Linked DNA regions of Canis lupus familiaris. The protein of the gene in region 1 interacts with the protein of each later gene in a pairwise test. Links are inferred from orthologs where the notes say so. Each region holds a gene or a part of one and is shown in the gene's direction. Other genes may lie near its edges.

Region 1 (3,517 bases):
TGAACTGAAGTTGAGAGACGCACACCCTACTGAGCAACCCAGGTGTCCCTATTAACCTAGACTTTTAGCAGTCTGTTAGTCTGGTCGTTTAGGAATGACTTTAGAATCACGTGAACTTTTATAATGATTTATTTTCCTTGCCACAGATTGTGATTCATTAGGTCTGAAATGTGGCTCTAGGTAGTTGGAATAATTTTCCCGTTGGTTTTGGTGCAATCTCAGCTGAGGATTTCTAATCTTATCTAGTGTAATTTTTTAAATTTATAGACTGAGAAAATATTGTGTAATTTCAATAGCTAAACCAAAATCATAGGGCTATTGGTAACAGAGACTAGATTTGTGTGTGTGTGTGTTTTTGTTTTTTTTTTTAATTGGTGTTCAATTTGCCAACATATAGAATAACACCCAGTGTTCATCCCATCAAGTGCCCCCCTCAGTGCCCATCACCCAGTCCCCCCACCCCCTGCCCACCTCCCTTTCTACCACCCCTTGTTTGTTTCCCAGAGTAAGGAGTCTCTCATGTTCTGCAGAGACTAGATTTTTAAAAATTATTTTAAATATGGAATGGACTTATTTGGAGATAAAGTAAAATCTGTGTTCACTTCTTAATTAAATAAGTTTTCTTTTGTAGGTCTCCTTTCTGTGAAGAAATAATCTGTTGCCGTGGAGACCAGGTGCGACTGGCAGTTCGTGTCCGAGTGTTTACTTACCCCGAATCTGCATGTGCTGTTTGGATCATGTTTGCTTGTAAATATCGCTCGGTATTATAGGACTAACATTTCTGTAAGAATCTACCTGTGTTTTATTGGAATTTTACACATTGTACATTATAGCTGTTTAGAGGTTCATTATTTTAAAAATCACATTTTGGCTTGGATGTCATATTTCACTTTTGTATATACCTGATAATAGTTTGAAAAAAATCATGTGTGTATTTAAAAATTAAGGATAAAAAACTTGTAAAGTCTGAGTGGAATTTAGTATAAATTAAGTGTCTATTTTAATAAATGGTACATTGTTTACAGGTATTCAGTAGTTTATGAATAAAATAAAATTTACTCAGTTTTCTTTACATTAACAGGTAATCAGAGAGAGGTTTATTTGTCTAAGGGTTTGAGCCATAAAAAAATCAATATGATCATTATTTTTCATAGATTAATGATTAATGGGATTATTTTATATAAATTAGAAATTAACCTCACAACAGATTTGTTAAATAGGTGAAAATACATTTTGATGAACTATCACTTTTGTGGCTTACCCATTGGCCATAGGGATATTTGTGACTTTCCAGGGATTTATGGGAAGATTCTGATGCAAGAGTAGGAAAAACTGATACCAGAAAAGCATAAATATTAATAAAACAAATCTCACATAAAGATAAATGAATAATTTATAAATACATTAGTTTGATTCATTATATAAAAATGAACTGAGTATTTTAGAAGAAGCTCACCATACCCTTTTGTTACGACACTGATATACTGTTTTCTGTAATTATTATTGGCAGTCTGTTGCTGATTCTTGGTAGTCAGAGGATTCATTACTGGCCTCTTTATGGATTCCATCTTATGAAATCACATTTGTTTTTCTTTTTTCCTTTTTTTTTTTTTCATTGTGATAAAAACACCAGAGTATATGCAATTACTCTAAATTGGAGAATCATTATGTGAGGCCCCTGAAAAATGAGCATATGTGAGAGACTCCATGCTGATACTTGCTTTAAAACTGAGCAAGTTTTAGAAGTTAGTTTTAAAACTGAGCATCAAAAAAGCAGTAGTAGTTTGACTTTTTGTAAGAAGCTGCATGACATAATTGATAGATTGGATTGCCCATTTAGCATCTGTGCATAGATCTTGATTCAGTTGCTTCATCTATTGGTCTTTTTAAGAAAGCACTGTGGGGGGATGCCTGGGTGGTTCAGTGGTTGAATGTCTGCCTTGGGCTCAGGGCCTGACCCCGGGGGTCCCAGGATAGAGTCCCACATTGGGCTCCCTGCATGGAGCCTGCTTCTCCCTCTGCCTCTCTCTCTCTCTCTCTCTCTCTCTCTCTGTGTCTCTCATGAATAAGTAAATAAAATCTTAAAAAAAAAAAAAAGCAGCACTTTCTCTAAAAAGAGGGGCACTTGGATGGCTCAGTTGGTTAAGTGTCTGACTCTTAATCTCCTTGATCTCAGAGTTGTGAGTCTGATCCCCACATTGAGCTCCACGCTGGGCATGGAACCAACTTAAAAAAAAACAAAAAAAGCCAACAGTGTGTACCAGTTGGCTATGCAAATTACTCTTTTCATCACTTAATTGTAAATAAAATGATTTAATGTTTTTTTAAAAATGAAAATCTAGAGATACCCTAAAATTTACCTTTTGTTTATTTTTACATATGATGAATATTTATGATTTAACTTATTTTTAAAAATCTGAAAATATCCCTCTACTTTCAATTTTCATTGAAAACAGTAATCAGATATTCTTGTGAGACTGACATACCTTTAGAGAATTAGCAAAATAAGAATTGAGACTTTTTTACTTTGTTACCAGAATTATTCATAAGGTATCAATAGGGAAAATTGCTTATAATTTTCAGCTTTTGGAACAAATTATTTATGGGGCACTAAAGGCAGACATGTTAAGATTAAGGCTATGTTATCTTTGAGGCTGGGTGGACCAGAAAAACACATGTATATTCATAATGCATCTTTGGTATAAATTCTAAAATAAATTTTCTATTTATGCACTTTAATAGACTCCAACATGAATAATTTTCTGTAAAGGTGGTTTATTTCAAAAGATTCTTTTAGTGATTTTATCATTAGAATTCTTATTACTAATGTTTCTTTTTAAAAATTGAATTTGCATTGTCTGTTTAGCTGTCATAAAAGTTGTTTTCCTATTAAAAATGTAAAATAATTTTTATATGTCTTTATTCTTTTTGACAATATGTACACTAATACAGTCCTCTATACATTTATATGTGTGTGTATATAATATATAGGTGTATTTATTTAGTAGAAGATTATCAGAAACCTAGAAACTTCATTACTCAAGCATGAGCCTGTTGAATAAAACTTACTAAATTTAGTTCCAACTAAGTGAACACTCCAAATGCCTTGGAACTTTTTTCTACTATTGAGGTGTACATTTTTTGATATGATCTGCAAAAACACCTGAAACCTAGCAGTTCTGGAAAATACATATTTGAAACCCACTTTTCTACTTCTTAACAAAGACAAGATTTGGGGGATCCCTGGGTGGCACAGCGGTTTGGCGCCTGCCTTTGGCCCAGGGCGTGATCCTGGAGACCTGGGATCGAATCCCACGTCGGGCTCCCGGTGCATGGAGCCTGCTTCTCCCTCTGCATGTGTCTCTGCCTCTCTCTCTCTCTCTGTCTGTGTGTGTGACTATCATAAATAAATAAAAAATTTTAAAAAGTGGAAAAAAGACAAGATTTGAACCAAATGAAAAGTAGGCTTTATATTTGAAAAACTTGCTATTAAAGTAGTATTCTGTGCTATATAACT
Region 2 (3,517 bases), on another chromosome or scaffold:
GGGGAGGCAGGGACAGCTCTGATCCCTCCCCAACCCCAGGAGAGATTTCTGATCCAGCTGTCACAGCTCTCGGACACTGGGACCGAGGGAGAAGCCAAGAGAGGCAGCAAGACTTGGCAAAGGAGCACCAGAGAAGATAAGGAGGCTGCACGCCAAGGGGGACAGGAAGGAGGGGAAGCCTACTTGAGCCTGCTGCCTGGTGCCCCTGCCCTGCCCCTCCATGCAGTTTCCCATGGGCCCCGCCTGCATCTTCCTGAGGAAAGGCATCGCTGAGAAACAGCGGGTGAGGTGGCAGACAGTGGGAAAGGGTACGGACAGGGCAAAGGGGGCCAGGGTGTGGGGAGGGAAGGGGCATGACAGGTGCAAGGGGCCGGGATAAGGGGCACAGCCTCAGGGGGACTCCTGACCAAGAAGGTAGAACTCTGGGAGCTCAGTGGGCCAGTGAGGTGAGTGAAGGTAAACTCCGGACTCAGCAGCAAAAGGGAGAAGGGGAGGAGACCTGCAAATAAAAGGGGAACTGGGATGTCCCTGTCCATCACCTCTCATTTCTCTGGACACCTGTAACCATGACGGTGATGACACAACTGCCTCTTACTGAGGCACTGCTATGCACCCAGCCCTACGCAAAGGGCTTTGCTTTCCTGCTGTCATTTCATCCTCAGGACCACATTCACGGTTGGCCACACTTGCGTTCCCATTTTACAGATGTGGAAATGGAGGCTCTGAGTCACAAAGCCCCTTGCCTTCTATAGTTACTGAGTGGCAGGGTCCCATCAAGTCTATTTGATCCAGGGGGCTTACTTTTCATTGTTGGGCTTTAGGATGAGAGAGAGAGAGAGAGAGAGATGGGCCTGAGGGGGGAGGGCATCATGAGAAAGAGAAGCTCAGGGGAAGGCTCCAGGAACAAGGGGGAGGCCAGAGGCTGGTGGAGTCCACAGGTGGTGTGCCTTATACCCAGCCTGACCCTTCAGGTGTGTCTGAGAGCAGTGGTGGCATCAGGGATTGGAAATGCTTAGCTGGTTGAAGAATTGGTCATGCTGGCAGTGAGCATCCTGCCCAGATGCCACCGAACACTGGCTCCCACGCAAACAGCTTCTAACCCTTGGGAGAAAAAATGGGGGGCGGTGGGAAAGGAATCAAGCGGGTGTAGTGGAAAGAATTTTGGCTCAGAATTCAAATCTCAGCCCTCGCTGCACCTGGCCTGCTGCATGACCTCCAGGGAGTGATTTAATGTCTCCCTGCCTTGGGAGCGTCTCTGCCACTTAGAGCTGTGTCCCTTAACCTTAACCTCTCTGTTCCTCAGCTTCCTCTTAAGATGGGAATGCTATGTGGTCCTACCCCCTGGGGTGGATCTGAGGTTTCAGTGAAGTGACTGTGGGCACCGGGCACAGGGTTGGCACTCTGAGCGCATTAGCTGTGATTCTGAGCCTTACTCTCTTGTTCTGAAGAAAGGAGGGGATGGGATGCCAAGACATAGAAGACCCCTTGCTAGCACAATGGGATGGATGTCTCTTCAGGAAAGGCAGAGGGACAGAGATCAAGATCCCGGGATAGGAGAGAGGAAATGGGAAGTGATGAGGAAGAGGGCGGGAAGCACACAGTCAGGGGTGGGAATCAGGAGACGAGAAGGAAGAGGAGGGGAGTTAGAGGAGAACTGGGAACAAGGAGGGGTCGGGGAGGGGTTGTCCAGAGGAGGGAGGGATGTGTTTGGAGAAGTAGATATGGGATCCCTGACCCTCTCAAATTCCCTCTCTCTACATTCCTTTCCAGGAAAGACCCCTGGGACAAGATGAGATCGAAGGTAACCCCTGCCCCAAATGCCACCTCATTGTCATCCGCCACTAGGCTGCTCTCCTGTGCATCTCAGTGTAGACCCTTCCCACGAAAGCTTCACACACCTCTCTCTTCCCATTCAGCCATGATTTTGTAGAACTCTCTCACACAGTCGCTTGGGAGCCTCCCAAAGTGTTCAGAAGGCACACCACACCCATCCCCAAGCGTCTCAGAGACCCAGGAGTGACAGATGCAAGAGTTTTAAGATGAATCCAAGACTGTTGTTTTTTCTTTTGGAGGTTTTGAAGGTCCCTATAACGTCACCCCAGAATCTGGAGGACCGCAGTGCCATCACTCTGCGGTCTCACGGATCATTCCTCTTGCACATTTCAATCTTGCTCATTGCACTCTCTGTCCATGTTTCATACATCACTCCTTTTTTTAAATTTTGGTTTTCAAAGATATCTTCTCCTTTGGAGTCTCTAGTCAGTACCTCCCTGATGGTTTCAAGGGATGGCCAGTCTTCCCCATTGACTGTTTCGAGTCCCCTCAAGGTTCTTCTCTCTTAACTTTCAGAGCTCCGGGAAGCATTTCTTGAGTTTGACAAGGACAGAGATGGGTTCATCTCCTGTAAGGATTTAGGGAATCTCATGAGGACGATGGGTTACATGCCCACGGAGATGGAGTTGACTGAACTGGGCCAGCAAATCCGCATGAACTGTGAGGCTGGGCCGGGGAGGACTGCTGGGAGTGGGTGGGGTGGAAGCAGGAGGGATGTGGAGGCTGAGCCACAGCGAAGGAAGAGGGTAGGCGGCACTAGGAGTCTGGAAGCAAACAGTTCAGCCTGGATTCGGGGAGGCAGCGTCTGAAGTGGATAAAAGGGTGACTCTTGGAGGCAGATCTGGGTCCAAGTCCCACTTCTATCATGTACTGATTGTGGTGCTTTTGAAAAGTGGAGTCAACTTCCACTCCTGAGTCTCATTTTTCCCATCTGTCACTCCTTGTGGGATTGGGATGAAGGAGCTGATGCAGGTCAAGGCTTAGCCTCCAGTAAACGGTTATCAATGTAGGTTAGTACCATGACCACTGAGACGCAAAGGTAGAGGGCAAGCTTGGAACCGTATCTGCCTCTGGAAACAAACTTGGGATGGGTTCCAGAGCTCATTTTGAGAAGGAAGCTGGGACCAAATTACTCTGGGGTTTTGCTCTAAGGCGTGCCACAGAGTAAACAAGGTTGAACCCAAAGACAGGATTGTGTTTCTATCTGGAAGAGGTTTGGCTCCCACTCAATTCATGCTCCCCCTTCTACAGACCAACAGATGAGCAGAGATCTGAACCAATTAAGAGATTTTTCCCAAGGTCACAGGGACAGCTGGTTTCTTTCACCCCATGCATCCGTCCACCCGGGTTCGGATTAGAGGGACCCTGGGCTCCGGGTTGGCTGAGAGGGAAATTTCTCAGATGGCAGAGAGATCAGAGCAGGTCTGCCTCTTAAACCAATCTGGAAGGGTCCAGAGAGGTAGTGAAGGGTTGGTTACATGGACTCTCACTAAACCTGCCTCTTCTGTCCTCAGTGGGTGGCCGTGTAGACTTCGAGGACTTTGTAGAGCTGATGACCCCCAAACTCCTTGAGGAAACAGCGGGGATGATCGGTGTCCAGGAGATGAGAGACGCCTTCAAGGAAGTGAGTTAAGATTTTCATGGTGTTGGGGGTACTTGAAAGAAACACCAGGAGTCTATGATT
Region 3 (3,517 bases), on another chromosome or scaffold:
GATTCTGCCCACTTTGCCCCCATCCAGTGCCAGGTCACCAGATGGAAAGCGAAAAAGAAAGAACGGCCAATGTTCCCTGAAAACCAGCATGTCAGGTGAGCCAGGCTGTGTGTGCCTTTCCTCCCCACCCACAACCCCACTAAACCAGGCCAGGGCTCTTTCGGGGCCTGAGCATGGACCAGCAGCTCCTGTGTCCCTTGGGGAGAGCTTCCTAGAGGGCTTGGGACCGACTTGTCTGAAGGTTAGAGGGGTGAAGAGGGCATGCCCCGGCCTTTGAGGATGGATTAGGTCAAGAAGGGCCTCTTCCCTTCTCCGGCAACCCCCTTGCCTGAGCCCTACCCCCCTGCACCCTGGAATCAGAGTCTGGGCTAAGGAGCCAAGGGACTATATTTTCCAGAGATTAGCTGCTGACATGTGCTTCTCCTGCATTCCCCCTCCCTGCCCCTCAGATGCAGCAAGAGAAAATCCCCAACTGGGCAGTCGGAAGAACTGGGATTCTCCATATTCTTAGGGAAGGGGATGGACAAGATGACCTCTGACGTGTCTCCAGGATTCTACCTGGACACAAAACCCTTCAAGGAGGCTGGGCTAGGGGATGGGCCAGGAAGGAAAAAGTTGGGGGAAGAAGAAAGTGTAGGAGCCTCTCTGCTGGGGGCCCAAGCCATGCCTGCCTGCCTGCCTCCCTTCCTCCCTCCCAGGGTATATCCCTAGTTACCTGGACAAAGACGAGCAGTGTGTCGTGTGTGGGGACAAGGCAACCGGTTATCACTACCGCTGCATCACTTGTGAGGGCTGCAAGGTATGGACCAGCCAGCTCCTGCCCCTCCCCTGCCACCTGAGCCCCCATCTCACCCACCTTAAGGCCCTCAGCACCTGGCAAGGCCAGCCCTATGAACATGTCACCTAAAGCCCACCTGTTGCTCCACCATTGCTCTCTCTCATTCATTTGTTCATGCACAATCTCTGCTCTGCCACTCATATGTAAGATGCCTAATTTCTCTGGGCCTCAATTTCTTCATCTATAAAATGAGCATAACCGTCCTACCTACTACTTCAGAGAGCTGTTGGGAGAATTAAATGAGCTAAGTCATGGAGAGTATTTAATAACAGTGCCAAGCACATAAGAAGTGCTCAATAAAAATCCCAGCTATTGTCCATCCATTTGGTGTATCAGCTATGAGGGATGTAATATGTGCCCTGCCCTTGGGCTGCTCATGGCCTACCCAAGAGAGGTACACTAGAAACAAACATCATTTTTCAAAATGTGGTTCATGGGTTCAGTGCAGAGCCCCAGGTCCCATTCCAGCCCCACTCAGTCAGACCTCTTTGTGGTGAAGCCTCGTGGACTCTGCCTTGAAACTGGTTCCCTGGTTGCTTCCCCTGCATCTAGAAGGTTGAGAACCAGTGTTGGGGGTCGGGGCATGGTGGGGCCCAGAGTGGGAGAAGATGACAGAGTGTCCCTGGGCAGACGGGACAAGGTCATAGACTTGGGGAGCCTTAATTAGATCTCACTTTGCTCATTTTAACCTGCTAGGGTTTTCCAGGATCATCACCTCGTGAAAATGTAAGACCTTCCAAGAAACAAAAGTATTTAAAAATATGTTAAGGCTTCCAGTTTCTCTCTTTCTTAGTATCAACCAAGCCAAGAGCACCCGGGGTTTAGCATCCTGTAGCATTGTTCATGGAAGCAATACAAATAGCGTAACATAGAGCAAGGATCCTCACCCTCAAGGACAGCAAAGTCCTAGAGGAGCATCCCAGAAAGACAGAAATGCCTTGGCCCTACCCCAAGAGAGTCTGATGTAAGTCTAGAGTGAGACCCAGGAATTGGTATTTTTTCATAAGTGCATTAGATGATTTCAATGCACTGCAGAATCTGTGAACTCGGACCTTGTGTCCCATACGTCAGGTCCAGTTCTGGCTCTCCTGCCCATCTAGCCAGTATTACTTTGGGCAGATTGCTTACTCTCTCCAAACTTCAGATTCCTAGTCTCAAAATGGGTTCCTACCTCATGGGGTTGACACAGCATCAAATATGATGATGCACCAAAAAACAAAGCAAAACAAAACAAAAAACCCCACAAATGCTTTAAAAAATAAACAAAAAAATGCTTTTAAGTGCCTCATAGCATTCAGCACATGTTAATTCTTGGTATTATTACTGCCATCTTGATTCTTGAGGTTTTTCCTTTATTTTTTTTAAATTTTATTTATTCATGAAAGACACACACAGAGAGAGAGAGAGAGAGAGAGAGAGAGAGAGGCAGAGACACAGGCAGAGGGAGAAGCAGGCTCCATGCAGGACGCCCGACATGGGACTTGATCCCAGGTGTCCAGGATCACACCCTGGGCTGAAGGCGGCACTAAACCACTGAACCACCCGAGCTGCCCAGGTTTTTCCTTTAAAGCAAAGATGAAACCCTATATATAGAATTAAACATTTTCTTTTAAAGCTGGTAGGGTCCACATACACAGTGCATTTTCTTGATTTTTTTTTTTTTTTACCCCCTGCCCCATTTCAAGAATTCCACCTGCATGAGCAGCAGGCACCATGTATAGGAACGGTTTGGGGAGGTCAGTTTTATTTTCAGAGTTGGTTAGCAAGATGGAAAATGAGATATCAGTTGGACTTCCAAAGCTGCTCTTCCTTCAGGCGTCATAGCACCTGACACCATCCCAGGCTCATGTCTCTGTACTGTGGTCCTCATCCCTACCCCTGCCACCACCACTACCCACTTGCCCCTGCCCCTCAGCAGCCTAGGAGCTGAGGGCACATGTTTCTATGGTCCTTTGACCCAGCCAAGTGATCTTGGGCTTGCTGGTGTCAGGAGGATGCCAGGCTCCCTCACTAATCCCCCCACACCCCAGTGGACTGCATGGTTGGTTAGGGAAGGGGAAATCACGATCACTCCATGCTTCATCTCCCTCCACCCCAGGGCTTCTTTCGCCGCACAATCCAGAAGAACCTCCATCCCACCTACTCCTGCAAATATGACAGCTGCTGTGTCATCGACAAGATCACCCGCAACCAGTGCCAGCTCTGTCGCTTCAAGAAGTGCATCGCCGTGGGCATGGCCATGGACTGTAAGGGGTTGCAGGGGGCAGAGTTGAGCCAGATGGCTGCGGGTGGGGGTGATTTCAGGTATGACTGCTTCCTGCCAGGGAATCCTCAGGACACTCAAGGCAGAGTGACAGTCCACCTCAGGCTGATAGTGGAATGAATGTTCGGGATCTTGGTCCCTGCTGCCCTGAGGAAAAGGAAACAGGATCTCTCTTTGAGCCCTACATGTGGGCCCCAGTGCCTACCTGCCTTTCAGCACTCCAGGGCTTTAGAGAGAGTTGTCAGGTAGAAAGGAGTCCTGAGCATCCCACCCTAGCACAGGGTTCTTGACTATAAGAGAAGGTACCCCACTTCTGGGTGAGAGAGGGCATCTTGCATCGCATCGGCTAGAGATCAAATAGCAGGGTCTTCTAGTAACCACTTATTGGAACCCTTTAGACCAGGATATGCGAGTCA

What was found.
Region 2: the proteins of CEP76 (region 1) and CABP5 interact in binary tests that used the Homo sapiens proteins (3 or more experiments, as listed by UniProt). The link is inferred for Canis lupus familiaris from reciprocal best matches to the Homo sapiens genes CEP76 and CABP5.
Region 3: the proteins of CEP76 (region 1) and THRA interact in binary tests that used the Homo sapiens proteins (3 or more experiments, as listed by UniProt). The two-hybrid records come from large-scale screens. The link is inferred for Canis lupus familiaris from reciprocal best matches to the Homo sapiens genes CEP76 and THRA.

The regions. Positions count from the first base shown.
Region 1 is NC_049228.1:78,159,691-78,163,207, reverse strand, and holds part of CEP76 (centrosomal protein of 76 kDa), read left to right. Parts: intron 1-631; coding exon 632-770; 3' UTR 771-783; exon of another isoform or gene 784-1,085; intron 1,086-3,517. UniProt on the Homo sapiens protein: Centrosomal protein involved in regulation of centriole duplication. Required to limit centriole duplication to once per cell cycle by preventing centriole reduplication.
Region 2 is NC_049222.1:108,853,875-108,857,391, forward strand, and holds part of CABP5 (calcium-binding protein 5), read left to right. Parts: 5' UTR 1-220; coding exon 221-283; intron 284-1,770; coding exon 1,771-1,801; intron 1,802-2,349; coding exon 2,350-2,493; intron 2,494-3,347; coding exon 3,348-3,457; intron 3,458-3,517. UniProt on the Homo sapiens protein: Inhibits calcium-dependent inactivation of L-type calcium channel and shifts voltage dependence of activation to more depolarized membrane potentials. Involved in the transmission of light signals.
Region 3 is NC_049230.1:22,426,285-22,429,801, reverse strand, and holds part of THRA (thyroid hormone receptor alpha), read left to right. Parts: intron 1-27; coding exon 28-95; intron 96-698; coding exon 699-799; intron 800-2,936; coding exon 2,937-3,084; intron 3,085-3,517.